Linked DNA regions of Drosophila melanogaster. Changing the gene in region 1 together with any one later gene gives a genetic interaction. Each region holds a gene or a part of one and is shown on either strand. Other genes may lie near its edges. The genes, in order: so, gl and cry.

Region 1 (3,756 bases):
ATCCCTTTCTCCGAGGAGGCGGGGGTCATCTCGAACCGCAGAACGTGGTGTTGATCGCTGCATTGTTGTTGGGCTGCTTGCCTCGTTTTTCTCATTCATGTTGGACAAGATTTTTATCGCACTTTTTCATTAACATTTTGTGGCATCCCGTATCGCTGCCTCTCCATCCAACTTTGTTTTATGGCCATCTTTATGTGTTTTCTGGTCCCTCTGGCATTCCCAACTGTTGTCGTTGCCGTCTGTCTTTCTAATTCGATTGAAATATGATCTGTTATTATGTAAATTTTACGATTTCCTAATTTTTTTAACACTTATTTTGGCTATCGGTGACTGTCGAGGCCTGGCGCCAAAACCTTATCGATCGCTGTAAACGATACTGAAATCGCCAGCGGTATGGATCTTCACTTGGCATCTGATCTGTGTGGGCAGTTGCCGATCTTGATTAGGTGCACCGGCCTGGCGCCCCATTAGTCCATCATCTTTGTTGGATTTCGATCGAGTTTCCCAGCTCCGTTTCCGAATTTGCATTTTGGGTGGTCCTCGATGCGATTTTCACGGCACACGCTGAGATCGAGCTACCGATAAATGGGACAGAATTTTAATAAAGAAGTGCTGAAAATAATACCATTTGTCTAAGCGGTTCCTCCAACAACAGGTACTTTGACTAATTTCTATACATTTAGCGTTACATTACATTAATTACATTAATTTACATTAATTACATTAATTACCATCTACAAAATTCACTAAGCAGTGTAGTACTCTGTGATTTAAGTTGACTATTTGTATTCAAAAAGAAAGTTAGGCATTCTGAACGCATCGCTGCACTTTGTACAGGTGTCTCTAGATCATGTTAATAGTTTGAAATTAAATTAGGTTCAAGTTATTTCAGTTATCATGAACAAGGACTTGAAGACGAAAGGAGCCTGTGTATATAGTAAATATTTAGTAAACTAAATATATTAGTAAATCATTAACACAATTAGTTGGCTTCAATTACCAAACGGCTTCATCTCCTTCGGAATCATTAAATAATACAATGCAAACCGCACTAATGTGGAAGGACCACAAGGTTGAGTTAAACCAAAAAAGTGGAGTGAATGAATATGAGAAAAGGCCAGTAATTGCAATTATACGAGAGATGCATGGAACTATTGCGGTGAGTAATTCAAACGGCATTGTAGGATGGCAGCTATTGCACCGGGCATCCTTTCAGCCAGGATGAGGAGTTCCTGGGGAGGAGCAGCGATGCAGTTGCAATCACCTCCGATTTCCGCCTTTCAATATGGCGCCCAATGCGCATGCCTTTTTGCTGGCATGCGTTTCCGCTGACCAATCAGCACGTTGCTGTCCTCCAGTGCGCCGGTGTGCGTGAGGGCATCTATGTGTGTGTGTGTGTGTGTGTGTGTGTGCGAACAGGTAAGCCGAGGGGGCGTTCTTTCGGTCAACCTGTTTATGCGCTCTCTCGCTCTTTCGCACGCTGCCCCTCTCGCAGTGGCTGTCAAACTGTTGTCGATTGGCACCGTGTGTCAAATTCAATGGCTACACGTTTATAAAAATATTTGTCCAATTAACTTAACTTAACTTAACTTAATTGTAAGCCACTTTAAAAATATATAAAACCATTTTCTAATGTTTTGAAGATACAATAGCATATAATAACGGAAAAATGTACTATGTCTTACTACGAAAACATTAGAATACAATAAAATAAAATAGAATAAAAATAAAAACACTTGTAAAGGCAAGATATTGAAAACAACTAAAACGTAGTGAATTCTGAGTTATCATCAGTTCATATATGTGTAATCATGAACTGTGTGTGCCCAGTGACTTTATAAAAGTCAGTGAATGTAAGTCTCGCTTCACTTGATTCCATTATTTTCCTATAACGTTTTTGGAAAGTGACGCACAAAGTGTCGGTGCATCCCACTGTGCAGTTCACCCCCTTGGTGTTCGCTCACTCACACACTCGCACGACCAGTCGGCCATCTCGCTCTGGCGCACGCACACCGCCAGCGGCACCAACCATTTTCTGCCTTTTGTCTCGGCCGTTTTCGGTTCGATTAGGTTTGAGAACCGGAGAGTTCTCAGTTGTTTTCGAGATTCCGTCGCGTGCGGTTCGCTGCCCGTTCTACCCACGTCGCTCGCTTAGTAATCCAGGCCGGATCCGGCGGTCTTTTGACGTCCCGCGCACAAAGTTATATTTAATTTGCGTGTTTCCTGAATGAACGCATCAGTATCGCGCCACATAAACGCACACGAAGCGAGAGAAAAGCGAGCAAAATTGAGCTAATCAATCCGCGGGCGGCCATTTTTTGTTGGCACTGCCTCAGTGCTGTCGTCGCAGCTTTGCCCACCAAATTTGCAGGTGCAATTTGTCCGAGTCGCGCAGGACAGCGAAGTTTTCGCGAAAAGTAATTTGCAACACGTGTTCGCACAGTGCGTATGAGCAATATTCAACGGCAAGCTTGTGTTAGTTAGTGCCCAGTGTGATCGCGACTAAGAGTGTGTGCGTGCGCGAACGGCACATGGCTTCGATTTGAAGAGTTTGGCCAAAATGCAAATCAAGGAAATGCCGCACAGCCGAAATCAGCGCCTTCTTGGCCAACTCTAACATTTGCGGATATAGCACAAGTCGAATCGGAAAGCCAAGGCAAAAGGCACAAACCCAAACAAAGAGTAACAAACAAAAACTAACAAACTCGGATACGTATCAACAATAAATAATCAAAATACAGGTGAGCAGCGAGATTCAGTTTTCATGCTGCCGACGGCAAAAGTTTACTGTGGAACACTAGAAACCATGGCAAAAATATATGTAGATGCATAAGTAGGACGGATATTCTTTCACAATAAGAAAAACGAATGGTATATGGGGGATTAATTTAAAATAAAATTGGCATTGATACTTGAAAAAGGAGATATAATAACTATGATAAATTTCGGGACGATTATGTGAATAAATATAGCTAATATTAGATTATACATTTCCATATTGGAACCTTAAAATTATAAAACCATAAATATATACAAAAGTTTCAGAAAAATAATAATTTCAATAGGTCAAACTAAGCCTTAGAAGAACTAACCACATGTTCAAGAAATCACTTATCACCTATAGATAAGATCATAGAACATAGACCTTTTATTAAACATCCCATACGGTTAAAATGGAACTTACAGCAAAGCGTTATTCTTGATTAGAAAAGCCTAAAGTTCTCTGAGAAAGTATCAATCACTTTGCCTATTTGAAGACTTCATTTAAAAATATATTTTAGTGCTTTAAATAGCCTTTAAAGCGTGTGCAGCGAAAACATTAATGCAGTCCATAAATGTCACGGCGTATCTCTATCCGCTTTCTAATGGATCAATCTATCATCGAAGTCCATAGATTCACAACGTTTTGCCGATTTCAATGAGGAGAGCTGAGAGCCAAAGTGCACTTCGCTTTTTGGCGGCGTGGCATTGGCGAATTCCAAATGGCCAAAAGCCATCGGAAAACCAACTCGAGGCACTTGAGAAGCAATTCTGAGGGAATCGAAACGAAGGCAAAAGCACGGGAATTGCATGTTCACTTATATTTGGAAAGGAAACTTGTTTACACACCAAAAGAAAAATTCTGTTGTTTTATTCACCGCTCAATTTTTTTCTAAGTTTTCCACGTTTCCAAGTTGGCTACTCAACGGCCCACCCACCTCAGATGTATTTATTAATTAGAGGAAAAGATATGAGATGGATTTGATCCAAAGGAAA
Region 2 (3,756 bases), on another chromosome or scaffold:
TTTAACACACACGACGCTGGCTGGGCTTGACCTGAAATTCCCATCGATAAGGTAAGGTGATATGGGGGATATAGCTCGATACGTATGCGATCACTGCAAGCCTTTGCACTCAACTGATTTTGCCAATTGGCGGTGAATTCGATTTCGGGCGTGTGAACCAGGTGATCGATCCGAATTGGGATCTCTTCATAGCATTATATCTATAATATATCTTAGCTAAATATAGTCGAGTTGGGCTTAACACATCTATTTCATAATTTCCATTTGCTTTTCCATCTGGCCTGCGATTTATTCCTTGCTTTTTCTGCTGCGACCACAAATCGAACTATCAAATAACATTCAAACTATTCACGATTGTCGGCCCGGCGACAAGAGCATCGATCGATTGGCAGTCGTCATTGGCCGGGCTACAATTGAGAATCAGCGCCGGAGATAGAGATACAAAGATACACGCAACAGAAGCAGATACACACGGCCAGATACGCAGATACAAGCTACAGAAGCAGTCAGGGGGTTGCCGGCCGACTTGGCCGATGGACTGCCTCACTTAACCACAAAACAATGGAGCGAAGAGGAAGCAGAATGCCGACGAAGACGATCAATGGTTGGCAAGTCCGTAGCAACTGTCCCTCCCTCATCAGAGACCCTGCCAGAAAATTCCCATTTTAATATGTGAATTACTTTATTTTCAATACTTCTTGTATCATATTTATATCATACCAATTACATTGTTTATTAATAATCCCTATAGTACTTTTTGTTTATTATGTAATAAAATTACAATACCTTTATTTTAAGAAAGTAAATAATATGTTATATATCGAAAATATTCACTAATCACAAGCATATCAAATAGTCTCAAGTGATTTGATGTCCTCTTAAGAATTTAGCGACAATCTGCGGTTGTGCATCTATAGATTTTAAGGAAAAGGAACTTCATATCTTCTTTTCAACAAATAAAGTGAGGATACTTGTTTGTGAATTGAAAACAACGTTATTTGAACGGCCATCGATTTTGAAGTGTAACATTCTAGAGCACTAGAACTGCTTGCTAGCGATTATTTCTCGAAGTGTACTCTTTTTTCTCCCCGCCTCGTTGGTATCTGGTGTCGAGCTGTAAGATATTGGGTGACAAATAAAAACTACTGAAAACTGCTGCCGATGTAGCTGGCCACGTATGAATGGGCCTGAAACTCGGACTGGGCGGGATCGGCAGCGGAGGAGTCGGATATGGAGGCGAAGGCGAAGGCGGAGGAGGGTGACTTTGGATTTGGATGAGGATGTGGACGTGGAAGCAGCAGAGGGGTGGGTAGTAGCCGCAAAAGCCGGCAGACGGAGCGCATTGGTTGGCCAACAACGATGACGGCAGCGTTGTTGTGGTGGTGGATGGATGGAATCTCAGGAGTGGGCATGGGATATAGTGCGGGATGGCTTGGTGTGGGTATGGTATGGTATGGGTTTGGTATTGGAGGAGGGGTGCTTTCAGCAAGGGTCTCGAGTGTGTAGTGCTGCGTACTTGTGTCATTATAGCCGACCAAAGTGTGAGTGCGAGCGAGATTGTTGTTGCCGTTGTCTTTTGCGCCCTTTTGTCGCTTGTTTATAATTAAGTGAGTATGTTTTTTGCGCCCTGCTGCTTCCTCTGTAGTTGTCGGTTGTCGCTTTGCTGCCGCTCTGCCAATCCGATATATCAGTCGATTTTGGGCCGAGGTGGCTCGAACCGAACTGCAACTGACAATTAGTCGCCGTCTTATGCTCCTCGCCAAAAGTCGCTTCTTGCCCCGCACTCGAAAAATCGAAAACTGAAAACGCATAAAATTCAAATCGGAAAACAACGATCGTGTGTTACTACTTAAAACCGAGTCTTCGAAAAAAAAGTTACAAACATATTTTGCAAGAAAACGTTGAAATTCTATTGGTGATCTTGGTATCATGCCATTTGTGGATCTATTCAGAAGGTGAAAACGATTAAGAGTGCATATGTGAATAAAGAACGGAATAAACAATATTAAATCTGCAATAAAAAAGAAGAAAGAAAAAATGGAATACAACTAATGTATTTGAAATAAAACCTAATAACTGCAAATAGCTAATTAAAATGTCCTAACAATGTTTTGGCTAAGATCGAAAAAATCAATTCACTAAGAAGATTTTATCAATTTAACAATATCATAGCTTTGATCTCATTAAAAAGAAAAACAAAAATTTACTTTGATTTGCATGCATAAATTAGTTAAATAGCAATTTTAACGTTTTGTTTCTTTCAAAATGAAAGTTATTGTAATTTTAGTATAATTTTTTAGTCCTAACAATAATGAAACAATCGAATTGAAATCCATCTTCGTCATAAGAGCGATCTATAATTCGATATCTCTTTTAAATTTAGAGGTGAAGAATCTGTCATATTGTGTATCTAATTTCTGATTAGCTGTCGAACTTTATTTAAAACTGAATTTATTAACACTTTATTGAAAATATATGAAGATTAGATTTGATATTGGTATTTGATTGAATAAATAATAAATTGAATAATAGATTTGAATAAATGAATAGAAAGTGAATCTTAATTAGAATTTACCAATAATGTTCCGTCATCGCCTTGCAGTTGGAAATTAACGCATCAAGATGAAGCGTAGGAAAAGCAGGAACAAATGCGCGACTGCTGAGCCCAAACGTTCCAGAAGTGGAGTCATGTCATGGGATTGTTATATAAGGGTTCCAAACTCCTGAACACAATTCTGGGTGAGTGAAATCGGAAGCACCATTGCACAGATATGCAGATACAGCATATTGTATGGCGATACACGGATGGAAAGTCGCGAGTCGAGAGAGCAAAGCAAATGGCGGTCTCTCGATTTGTGTATTTGTGTGTGTCTGTGTGTGTCTCGAGGGGCGGAGCTAGTGCGCACAGTGGTTGTCATGGGAGCAAAAATGTATCCATGAGATACGCGCTGCTGGCGAGCATCTCTGGCGTACTTCCAGTGATTTTCATGCTGTTCTTTTTTTTTTTTTTTTGGCTGCGCAGATTCCCTGGAAGATCAAGAGGGTGGAGCTATGTACATATCGTGCGATGTCTCAAACGGCGGTCCTGTGGAACCAGAGACGGGCTATGTGCCCAACAATCCCCTGTTCGGCCTGGCGCTGGACAGCCCTCAGGTGAGTCCTGGAATCCTTTTTCGATTTCGCCTCAATATCTCCGGAAATCTTCGAGCGTTCGGTTGTGCTTGTTTCGTGGAAAGAACTTAGCTGAAATCTGTGATATACCTGAACTATTTAAATTTTATAACCAGGAAATAGAACCCAATACCGAAATTGTGGTTATTTTAATTTGCTATATCGGTAACTGAAAAATCAGACAGTTTTGTACTAAGAAGTTTATCATTTTCGTTTTTAAAGTAATCTATTACATTTTTAACCCATACGATTTTATCTATTGGGAAGTTTAATAGCTTAGAAATTCCTTCCATATGTAATACAATTAAACTCTCCTCAGAAGTCAGTATTAGAATGTAAAAATAGTTAAAATTTACTAAATGTTTCCACTAACTAACTAATTATTTTGTCTTAGTTACGTATTAGTACTAACTGAATGTATTTCATAACCGGTCTCAATCTCCATTTCCGTTTTCGCTCGTGCAGCAAGAGTGCGCCGCTTCCTGCGTCGGCTGCCTATCCTGCCAGGGCAGCACCGCCCTGCCCATCTCCTCGCTCACCAGCAGCGACTTCGACTGCGGCGGCTGTTTCGATCCCACGATTGGA
Region 3 (3,756 bases), on another chromosome or scaffold:
AATGCAATTCGCAGGATACAGGATCTTTTCCAAGCACAATGGAAACTATGGTAAAGCAGCGGCGATTGAAAAAGTAAAAGCCCTTTCAACGAGTGGTCCCATCTGGTTTATGAGAAATCATATTTAATTTTCTACATGACATTTTATCAGCCAATGTTCAGTAATTTTTCACAGAACAAACTATGAAAGGCTGTCCGTAATCATAAAAAATTCAATTTCGAGGAAATGGTGAGAACTTTGTAAAAATTGGTACCACCTGGCGTATGGGTAAGTGGGTATTCCTTTGCAAGGGACAAGTTCTATTGGAAAAGTTCGACCTGAACGTAAATTAAATGCCAACTATACGAAAATGTCCATGTCAATGAAGTGAAAATTGTGAATAGAAACCCACCTGGCGTATGAGCAATATGAGTTCTTTGAGTATAAGTAATTGTATTTGCTATTCTCAATCTTTAAATTTCCGAAATTTCAATCCCAACCGAGGAACGTAAATTAGTTTCATAAAAGCTAACAAGGCAAGAAAAATTCTTTTGTCCAAAACCTTTCGACTTCACTTCATTGTTCATTTGACCCTGTTTCACTCTGCCTCTGCCACTGTTCCTTTCCCCCGCCCCCTTATAATCCTGGTTTTGGCCATAGTCCAGCCACAGAAGGCTCATCATCGTCGTCGTCATCATTTGAATTCCTCGCCCGATTGTTGCAAGCAGCGCCTGTCGTTGTTGTTGTTGCCAGGACACGTGCATCGGCGAGCTTTGCAGTTGACATTCCGTTACGCACGTTGCCTCCATTTGGTCCTTGTTCTTGTTTTTACTGCTGCTGCTGCTGCTGCTGCTGCTGTCGGTGTCGTTGTCGTTGTCTAGGCAACATGCAATGTGCAATGCTAAAGTTTTTGTGATGCAAGTGCGTAGTTTACTCACAATAAGGCTCGTTGGGACTGTCCAGCGATGTTGGGTATTCGACGTGCGGGGATTTTTTTTTATGGGGGAAAAGCTCACTCAAAGTTGGCAAAGGAGCTGTGGCCCATGCTCGGGTTAACTAACTATGCCAATGCAGGACCATAACCAAAAAGTGCGTCACTACCGAATATTAGCTACTCTATTATATGTTCAAGTGTATTTGGTTTTTCGAAATATTGATAGGAGAATACTGGTATCTAGAATTGCTCATCTTCCATCTTCATCTTTTTCTTACCAAAATAGCTATTTCCAGTATAATTTGTAGAAGAACTAACCAGGAATGGGCTAACCTACTTTTGTAGTTAGGGCGATACTTACTTGCTTTACAAATGAATGTCTGCACAGCACAAATCAAATAATCAATAAATCTTATAACTATTTAAACTTAAATGTATTTACTCATAATAAACAACCAAGTAAATATACCCAAATAGGTAATTATTACTTCAAAGTGATAAGTATAAGCATGCAAACAGCCCATCTCGATCCCACTGCAGAGTTGAGTGCTTGCAAAAGCTCGTCACGTCATAAGCGGCAACAGTTGGGTTCAGTTTCTGGTTCTGTGTGCTCAGAACGCAGTGCCCCACTGTGAGAGCGAAGGGAAGAAGGGGTGGGACAGTCAGCTGGGGGTCGATTCGGGGTGGGGGCTCGGCTCGTTCTCGGCGCAGAGCTAGAAGTGCAGGCAACCGTGGGCAGAGTGCCACACTTATGCTCACACAAGCACCCAAGCACACAGTCGCCCCTTCGCACACACACACACACACACATACAGATCGACAGCTTTGTATTGACGCACTTGAACGGGCTGTTTCTAGTTACCGATTCACAGTACACGCTTCTACACTGGGAGAAAATATGCATGTCCGCAAAATCCTTATCAACTCTCGAATCTTTTCTCGCAGCCATTATAACGAGTTTTAATACTAAATATGCATAGAAATTCAAAATATAAACAATAACAAAAACAAAAACGATATTTGGATGTTATAGAACACTCTTAGTTTTAGCCTGCGTTTGGTTTTGCCCAACTTAAACTTTGGTTATAATATATATAATATATGGAAGTAAGTACTTTTTTTCAGTGTGCGGTTCCCACAGGTCTCTTTCTCGCCATCTCTGTTGCACTCACCGTACTTATGCGATTCATTTTAGCTTATAACGCCGAACACGGGGAACGTTGAGCTGCAGTTGTAGAAACGTTCTCAGCACTCAAATTTCGCATTCACATTCTCATTCGTCAATTAGTTGCCGGCGCGAGCGAATCGTGAGTGCGGAAAAAAGAAAATCTTTTCATCAGCTGGAAAACTGTTCTTCCCGATCAAAACTGGGATTCGGGAGATTTTTGAAGCCCAAAAGCAGGGAACTCCTCACTGATGGCCACGCGAGGGGCGAATGTGATTTGGTTTCGCCATGGATTGCGCCTCCATGATAATCCCGCTCTATTGGCCGCCCTCGCCGATAAGGATCAGGGTATAGCCCTAATTCCCGTTTTCATATTCGATGGAGAGAGTGCAGGTAAGAACTGAGTTTTCGAAAATTTTATTTCGTTGCGCACACATACATGTAGGTATCCAAATTAAATTGATTACAGGTAACCTTGAACTTACCTTGCACTTTCCTAAGTTATTACTTCAAAACTTTTATATGAGATATGGATATCTCATGGAGATATATTTAAAATATTAAGATAATCTTAAAATAATTAATAGATAGCAAAACATCAAAGATAAAATATTATATCTATATATATTTGCTCATACAAAATCATCAGAAGTTTGTGTAAAAATAGATTTTTGGAAAGAGTTTGAAAATTCAACAAAATTAAAATAAAAAACCGTTGGCAACAGAGGGTTAAAATAAATACTTTTAGTTTGATTGCTATTACACGCTCATTCTCCGTATGAGCTAATATCATTTTTTGCGACTTGCATCGGTTATCACATACCACCTCTTTCCGCGACCGCTGCGAATTCAGCGTTTTCGCTGCTTGTGAAAATGGAAAGAGGGCGAGAGCTGCAGGGGCGGAAAATGGAGGGAAAACCTAATGCACTTTTGCATGGTAGAGCAAAACAAACGATGCGCCCTAATGCCATTTGTGGCTGGCGGTTTTGAGAATTTTCCGTCGAATCGCTGGGAGAGAGATATAGAAAGACAATGCAAAATGGGTAGAGACATTGAGTGCAAACCAGAATAGCAGTATAATGCTTGTGTTTAAACAGCTCGCTCACGGAAAAAGTCGGCGAGAAACGGGGATACCTATAGAACCCATCACTTGACCGATAAGCGTCGTTTTGTGGGTAAAAGCGTGAAAACAAATATTACAATGGAAAATGGGCTAAACTGAACCATTTGTTTGCACAAAAGCTGAAAATTTATCTAAAAGGTGGCACTTAAACACACAAACTTGTTTTGAATTCCTAGTTTTGCGAAAATTGTGCACGAAAAAACTTTGAAAATGCATAATTTTTTTTAAATTTATAAATCTTATAAAACCGTTAAATGCTCTTCCTTAACAGGTACCAAGAATGTGGGTTACAATCGGATGCGTTTCCTCCTGGACTCGTTGCAGGACATCGATGATCAGCTACAGGCGGCAACTGATGGACGTGGACGCCTCCTGGTCTTCGAGGGCGAACCGGCTTATATCTTCCGCCGGCTACATGAGCAAGTGCGTCTGCACAGGATTTGCATAGAGCAGGACTGCGAGCCAATTTGGAATGAGCGCGATGAAAGCATCCGTTCTCTATGTCGGGAGCTGAATATCGACTTTGTCGAGAAGGTATCACACACGCTTTGGGAT

The links.
Region 2: of so (region 1) and gl, changing one enhances a phenotype caused by changing the other (phenotypic enhancement), as found in Drosophila melanogaster (one study listed by BioGRID).
Region 3: of so (region 1) and cry, changing one enhances a phenotype caused by changing the other (phenotypic enhancement), as found in Drosophila melanogaster (one study listed by BioGRID).

The regions. Positions count from the first base shown.
Region 1 is NT_033778.4:7,417,258-7,421,013, forward strand, and holds the start of so (sine oculis), read left to right. Parts: upstream 1-2,092; 5' UTR 2,093-2,741; intron 2,742-3,756. UniProt on the Drosophila melanogaster protein: Required for visual system development. May transcriptionally regulate genes necessary for optic lobe invagination and Bolwig's nerve formation.
Region 2 is NT_033777.3:18,370,716-18,374,471, reverse strand, and holds the start of gl (glass), read left to right. Parts: upstream 1-1,733; 5' UTR 1,734-1,955; intron 1,956-2,602; 5' UTR 2,603-2,693; coding exon 2,694-2,739; intron 2,740-3,022; coding exon 3,023-3,153; intron 3,154-3,636; coding exon 3,637-3,756. UniProt on the Drosophila melanogaster protein: Transcription factor required for gene expression specific to photoreceptor cells.
Region 3 is NT_033777.3:19,210,012-19,213,767, forward strand, and holds the start of cry (cryptochrome), read left to right. Parts: upstream 1-2,142; 5' UTR 2,143-2,329; coding exon 2,330-2,471; intron 2,472-2,547; exon of another isoform or gene 2,548-2,716; intron 2,717-3,472; coding exon 3,473-3,756. UniProt on the Drosophila melanogaster protein: Blue light-dependent regulator that is the input of the circadian feedback loop. Has no photolyase activity for cyclobutane pyrimidine dimers or 6-4 photoproducts.